2 linked regions of the Caenorhabditis elegans genome follow. The protein of the gene in region 2 purifies or fractionates together with the protein of the main gene of each other region. This does not show direct contact. Each region holds a gene or a part of one and is shown on either strand. Other genes may lie near its edges.

The links.
Region 1: the proteins of natb-1 (region 2) and Y23H5B.8 fractionate together in Caenorhabditis elegans (co-fractionation; one large-scale study listed by BioGRID). This does not show direct contact.

The regions. Positions count from the first base shown.
Region 1 is NC_003279.8:2,545,721-2,550,179, forward strand, and holds Y23H5B.8 (T20D4.11-like domain-containing protein), read right to left. Parts: upstream 2,680-4,459; 5' UTR 2,608-2,679; coding exon 2,401-2,607; intron 1,613-2,400; coding exon 1,484-1,612; intron 1,435-1,483; coding exon 1,246-1,434; 3' UTR 666-1,245; downstream 1-665. Other genes in the region: Y23H5B.3 (T20D4.11-like domain-containing protein), read left to right, coding at 1-40, 87-143, 221-433.
Region 2 is NC_003283.11:7,982,028-7,985,135, forward strand, and holds natb-1 (N-alpha-acetyltransferase 20), read right to left. Parts: upstream 1,405-3,108; 5' UTR 1,391-1,404; coding exon 1,313-1,390; intron 1,264-1,312; coding exon 1,173-1,263; intron 1,122-1,172; coding exon 992-1,121; intron 945-991; coding exon 722-944; 3' UTR 630-721; downstream 1-629. Other genes in the region: F26D11.1 (Gluconokinase), read left to right, coding at 1-264, 418-610; abhd-12 (Serine aminopeptidase S33 domain-containing protein), read left to right, coding at 2,116-2,132, 2,201-2,322, 2,379-2,580, 2,627-2,869.

The sequences.
Region 1 (4,459 bases), on a different chromosome or scaffold from region 2:
TGGCGCATTTGGATCATGGTTTGGATATTGTATTCCAAAGGTATTCCAAAAAGACTAAAAGAGACAAAAACTGAAAAAAAATTCAGATTCAAAATGCCATCACATTAATGGAGTGGCCGTGCTTAAGCCATTGGAATAATGCGGTAAGATTTCTTTTTTACATAAGTTTGAATTTTGCGTGCTGTGGAGCGCATTTGCATTACAAATATATGATTTTTAGGCACAACTTCCAACATGCGAGTATTTCGAGGCTGACAATGAATGCAAGACAATGCCAATAGAAAATATATGCGGCCCCCGTGCCGTCAAAGAAATGCTGGATAATGAGAATTTTATTCGTGAATATTTTGGATGCAACAGGATCTACAAGCCTTCAAATAATTCTAGTAATAGCTTGAAAATCAAAATTTCAGGTAATCCTAATTCGAAATGAAGATGTTTGAAGAATGAAGGCAATTTTGAAACTTTTATATAATGCAATTTTGTGCTATCAACTAACTAAATGTTGACCAGATGACAACTTTTTCCTACTTCTCAACATTTTAGAGATAATCTCTGCAAGCATCTCAACAAGTCGGCCGCAGAAAAAAATGACCAATTTTTCATATATCGTTAAAAACAAGCTATCAGCTCACAAACTATCTCAAAATGGATGTATCGCAAATTTTGAATGCACTTTTTATTTAAAACATAAAGATGCACTATTAGCTAGCCCCTACAGTGGGGCTGAGCTCCTTTTGGGGCTGTGGCTGGTCTCCAGCCCCACTTTTTGACGCCGTCTGCGCACTTTCCGATAAATAGAAAAGAAATTAATCGGCGCAGAATGTGCGCAGACGCCTACCTAGTGGCACACAGGGTTTCGTTCGTTTTTCGCATATTGAATTTGTGGAATAAATATATAAATATAATAAATAAATAAATAATAAATAAATAATAAATAACTATAATAAATAACAGAGACAGTTTTATGATAGTTTGTTAGAATTTTAAAAATAAAATAAATCGTTATGGCCAATGTTTTCTTAATGTCCTGGTCATTTATAATTTCAACCAAGATCCCGGAAATCCAAACAAAGGAAATCGATACATCGAAAAATACAGAGAGTCCGCCCATATCCTGAGTTGGGCTTCGTTTCCCGGTTAAAGTTAAAATAAGGTTAAAAAAAACAATGAACACAATATAGGTGCTTTTCATTTGATAAAAAGGGGATCAACCCCCGCGAATCGGAATGTCGTTTGGATACATTATGGCTGATTTTCACAAGTCATCACTTTGACCTTATCCTCATTCTTCAACATATCCTCCCATGCTTCATCTCCGCATTGCTCTTGAACAACCCGTTGAAGCTCTGAAAACTCGTCAGGTGTCAACCAGCACTTTGGTTTATCCTCTCCAATCGTCGTGTTTTTCAGAGTAGTTACGTCGAATTTTGTCTGAAATAAAATGTTCTAGAGGATCTTTTTCGGAGAAGCTTGTAGGTACCTTTTCCATGCATTTACTGAATGGTCCGACTTTTAAGCCCAAGTCTTCACAGGCGGATCTCATGAACATTGTTCCGAATCTCAAAATACTTTTTAGTAGCTCTGGGATTTCCATTGATTCTACGCAGTTCTGAAAACTTTTAATTTTTTAAATATCAAAAAAAAACTAAAAGTGATGTACCAAATTTTGGGCGTGGCCTCTGATGCTCATAATTTTTTTGGGAGCCGTTAAACGGGCGTGGCCTTTCGTTCCGCCCACTTCTTGGTTGTGATCACAGAAGCTCTATCCAGTAGGCTTCCACGCAGGCGCAGAGAAGCCTACCTCGCCCGCCTTGTGGCGACCAAACCATTTTTCCGGAAATTGGTAAATTGGCAGATTGCCGAAAATTTTGGGCAAATTGTGCTTTTGCACAATTTTTTAAAGGAAATTTCAGAATTTCAATTTCAATCGGCAGATTTGTACGTACCTTATAAATTTTCCTACATATATTTTGAAAAGTGAGCAGATTCTATGAAAATATTTAAAGAAAACGGGAAAATTTTCAAAAAAGCACAGTTTTAAGTGTTTCCGTCTTATGAAAAAATCCCTTTAAAAACTTCCGGCAAATCGGCAAACCGGCAATTTGCCAATGTGCTAAATATTCCTTCTCGCCATTGTGTAGAAAAATGTTGAGAGGCCAGAGGCTGAGGCGGGCAGGATGAAGGCAGGCCCTGAAACCGCGCCTGCCTCCCATGGAATTTTTTTTGGCATTATTTGAAACGAATTTAATGTTCACAAACTACATTTGAGAAAAATTGGAAATCGGTGGCCGCAGAATTTCTAGGCCACCTACTACTTTTGCAGAAATTTTTTGTTGAAAATTCAATATTTTTCGAAACTCTATTTTTCAAATTTTTGCTGAAAAAAATAAAACTAACCGTTGTGTCAATGCACATATGATAAAATGTTTCCAAATTACCAATTTTCACATTTTTGCCGTGTTTCGTAGTTTCCAGCTTCAAATTATTCAAAATATTCTTCATTTTGTTGAGCTTCGTGAGACAATTTTCATAGTTTGTTTGTTGCCCGGAGACAATGGAAAAAACGAAGAAAGTCGAGAGAAGGAACAAGAGAATTTTGGCCATTTCGGTGTATAAATATTGAATAATAACAATTGAATAGCAGAAGAAGAAGAAATGACCTATCGAAAGATATATCCCTCGTCTCCGTGAAGATATATCTTCCCGGGAGATAGTCTCTGAAGTCGGGAAAACAAATATTTTGAGGTCAACGGATTCATATTTATTAGGTATAGAAATATCGATTTTTCCAATGGAGAGATGGGGAAAATCGACTTAAATTTTTTTTGTAGTTTTTTATCTGCCATCTATATTTTTTAAAGGGATATGCCAAATTTGTTCAAATTTTTTTCAGAAAAATTCAAAATTTCTGAGCAAAAGTTAGTGGGGAATTAAAATTTGAAACAACGGAATTTGGTGGAAAATTTAAATCTTCTGTGGCAAATATTGGCGGGAATTTCAAATTGTTTGAGTTAATGGGAGGGAATTCAAATTTTCTGAAACAAAAATTTTGGCGAGTAAATTCAATTTTTTTGAACAAAAATTGACGAAAAATTTTAATTTTCTCAGAAATTTTTTTGCGGGAGCTTGAAATCTTTAAAGAAAAACATTTGCGGGTAATTCAAATTTTTGATTTAAAAAAACTTGACGAGAAATTCAAATTTTCTGGGAAACTTTTTTTTTGGCGGAAAAATTGAATTTTCTGAGGAGAAATTAGTGTTGAATTAGAAAAAAAATTTTTAAACAAATTTCTGAAACAGAAATTGGCGGAAAACTTGGTCACACCACATTTTCTTAGGCCATCTGTGACGTCACTCCTCTTCCAGCCGAGATCAACAAGAGACCACTGTAAAAATTATCTAAAATTTTACTTAAAATTTATTTTTCAAAAATATTAAAAAGAAAAAAATTAAAATTAAAAAAATGTCAATGACCGTGCTGACCTTTCTTATCAAATAATCAAATCTCAACTCACGGGACCACAAATCTTGTTCGGCGAAAAATCAATTATTTCGAAATTTCGACTCTTCACAATGAGCTTGGATATGGAGCACCTCCATGGTGCCATGAATTACCGTGAGTTTAGGAAAAGTTGCCGATGGTTGCTGAGCGATCGCCGAGGATGTTGTCGGAGCATTGCCGCTTCTGTTGCCGGCGTGTCTACAAAAATCAATAAGTGTCATAATGGTTGCTGACAATCTTCAATAACTCCGATTTTATTGATTGCCGGTAGTCGCCGGCGGTTGCCGATAGTGGCCGGCAGCAGCCATTACTTGTAACAAATGGATTTTTTTTTCGATTAACGATAGTCACCGCTGACCGCCGGCAATGAAACTCTAATTTTATTGATTACTGATAGTCGCCGGCAATTAACAATAGTTGCCGCTAAGCGCCGATAAATCCAATTTTGCCGGTTCGTAATAGTTAAAGGCAATGGCGACAGTTGCCGGTAATTATCGATTGCCAAAAGTGCCGGAAATATCAATTTATCTCAATTTCCTTGTTTTTCAGTGTGTTTCGCTGCTGCTGCGTCAATTTCTGGAGCGATCATTGCCGTCGGCTGTACCACCGGACATCGTGAGAATTCGCGTGGTGGCAAAGGAAAATCGGCGAGATCAAAGCGATCGAAACGATCAAAACGAGACAAGAAGCAAAACTCGAAGAGACAACAAAACTCGAAACGACAAAAGAAGATTAAGGTGAGTGGAAGAGTTATTTCTCGGCCACTGTAACAACCATCTTTTCAGAGCAATTCTGCCGCTCCGGCACCACCGGCCAAGAGTGGAGTGCCTGCAAAATCGGCGGAGAAGGCAAAGGAAGGATCGCAGAGATCGGCTCGACTCAAGAAGGAGCAGAAGTCCGAGAAGAAGAAGGTTTGTGTAGATTTACGGAGTACAGTGTATATTTACGAAGCTCT
Region 2 (3,108 bases):
TCTTTCTGAGAAGCTCAGACGGCCATTCAAAGATGGTGATACTTTCCATTCACCTGAAAATGTAGAGAAAATGAAAGCCGGCACACCACTGAATGATTCTGATAGACTTCCATGGCTTCAAGCTATTAACAACTACGCAAGACTCAATCAAGGATACGTTATCGCTTGTTCTGCGCTTAAAAGACGTTATAGATCCATTCTTTGTGAACATCTTCCCAATGGAGCCAGCGGAAGAGCTGTTTTCATTCTGTTGAATTTAAAAAGGCAAGTAATGTTCAGCGCGCAAAAAAATGTGGTGAAAGAAATGGGCAGAAAAGTGAAAATGGACAACAAACAACTCAAATTCGCACTCGCTTCCGTCCGCTCGTTTTCCCACTTTCACACATTTTCACGCATTCATCGTTTCATTTTTTGCAGGGAAGTTCTTCAGCAACGCGTGAATTCCCGTCCCGGACACTTCATGCCATCTACTTTACTTGATAGTCAGCTGGCTACACTTGAACTTCCGAGTCCCGATGAATCAAATATCGTCACTGTTGATGCGAATAGTGAAAATGTGGATCAAATTGTTGATACAATTGTAAAGACTCTGGCATTGATTTGTGAATGATTCTAGAAATCTAAATAATATAAATAAATTTAATAATTTGTCATAACTGACAAGACAACCAACACAATAAACATTAAACAATAAATAAATACTAAACAAAACAATCTAAAATTAATCCACGTCTCTACTGTGCACGAGATAATTCAAAGGAACCATCGCTTTCTTTTCAGGATCGCGAGAAAGCGACTTCCGCATATCAAAAGCATCTTCGTCCCTATCTCCAGTGTAGTATCCAATAATTTGCCGGTAGACGACATATCCAAGCTTCTTATACAATTCGATGGCGATCTTGTTCGAAACACGAACAAACAGATCGACGAAATATGCTCTACGACTGAAAATTCTTAGATTTTAATAAAATATTAATTTGCCATCACTTACGCTTCAGAAGTACGTTCCAAGAACTCCATCATGTAGGCGGCTAGTCCCAATCGACGAAAATTTGGAGCCACAGAGAGAGCAGTTACATGTCCGTGCCAATTGGTGTCGCGTCCTTCGATTTTTCCCATGACTGAAAAATTAAACTATTTCACATTTATGTTTCATTTATTTTCAAACAAACCATAGGCCATAATTTCCCCGTTTGGATGTTCAGCAACTTGGTAATACTCCGGATAGTTCATCATATAGTGCAGGTAAAATTGGAAGCCATACTGCAAAAATAAATATATTTAAATTTTTTTTATTTACTGAGCAATTTACCGTTTCAGTGTTGATATCCAAGTTCACGTTATTGAACTTGAACATATCCATAACGTCGAATGGCCGGAGAGTTGTCATTTTTACTCGCAGTTCTGCAATATATTGCAATATTGAAGGGTAAATTTAAGTGTTATATTAATCACAAAGAAATTGCATTACTTGAGAGAGTTAACAAATTTTAAATTCGTTATTTGCAAACAAAATGGGAAAATAAATTTGGCGAACGCGGAAAAGAGTTGAAAAAGTGCTAAAACGAGGTGGCACTATTAAAAACGGTTCAAATAAATTTCGTAAAGGGCATAGCGCTGTGTTGTCAGAATTTAAATTATTTTTGCAGCTCGTTGATTTATTTTTAAGCATAAAACAAGCTATTATCAGGCTAATTAAGTTAAAAATTAATAAAAAAGAGTAAAATTCCAAATTAATTTGCAAATTCCTAAAGTACGCAAGTTTAGTGCGCGGTGTTTGCGGACTTGTCCACCGTAGTCCGTTGAAAAATTATCCTCTTTCGTTTTTTGTGTTTCAAAAAATAAATCGGTCAGGCGGTCAGGCGCTCCTCCTGACCGTCATCAAGTACAAACAAAACACTAACAGGAGAAAAAATCAATAAGTGACTAGCAGGGTGAGTATATTGTGTATACCTCTGCTTCTCTCTTCCACTTTTCTCTTTCTTTTAAAGAAATTCCAGTTTTTTTGCTTCCATTTTCACTTTCAAGTACACTATCTAATATACCTCATTTTGTATGCATTCAGGTGACTTGACTACTCGAATGGAAGCGGTTAACTAACAAAATATCAACATCATGCTAGGCTATTTTATGTAAGTTTAAATTTAGGCATTTTTCCACATTTTAAAACTTGATTTATTAAACGAAAATTTAATTTCAGTGTACTTATTCAACCGCTACTACTCTGTATCACAATTCTAGTCCTCTCAATTGTCATCTTCCTTCCAATACTGGTATATTTTCTTCCACGCTACACACAGTTCATCTTCTTTCTCAATTTCCGTTAGTTTTTCTTTTTTATCTTATCTTTTATCTTTGATCTATGTTACCTTGTTAAGGACGTCTGCCGAACACCGATTACAATGATTTGGCGTCGAACAACGTTAAATCAATCGGAAGATCTCTTCATTTGCCTGGAAAAAGTGGAAGGATTGGTGTTTGGCACATTCTGCCCAACAAATTGAGTTTAGAATGGAGAACAGAAGGAAAACATCCGACAGAGAGAGATTTTGACGATATGATGAGGGATTCAGAGAATCAGTAGGATTTTCAAAGAATGAATTCAAAAAAAATCAATAAATTTCAGAATTATCTTCTACGCTCATGGAAACTCGTTCGATCGCACATTCTACCATCGTGTGGAAATGTACAATTTGCTCAGTGATTGTAATTATCATGTCGTCTGTTTCGATTATCGAGGATATGGAGATTCAGAAGGAACACCAACCGAAAAAGGAATTGTTGAAGATACAAAAACAGTATACGAATGGCTGAAGGAGAATTGCGGGAAGACGCCTGTTATTGTATGGGGTCATTCGATGGGAACTGGGTGAGTTAAATTTATTATTTCACTGCAATCAGAAATTTTTAAACTCAATTTTTAAAGTACTGAGGATAATGCAAAAAAAAAATGCTGACTGATTTTGATATCAAAAAATACAAATTTAAGATGGCTTTTTTGAGCATAGCTCTAGTTCACCAAAATTAATAACATTTTTTCTTGAAAAATCGGGTTTCAAGAAATTAAAAACAGCTTCATATGTTGCAGGTGTAAATCAAAATTCGAAA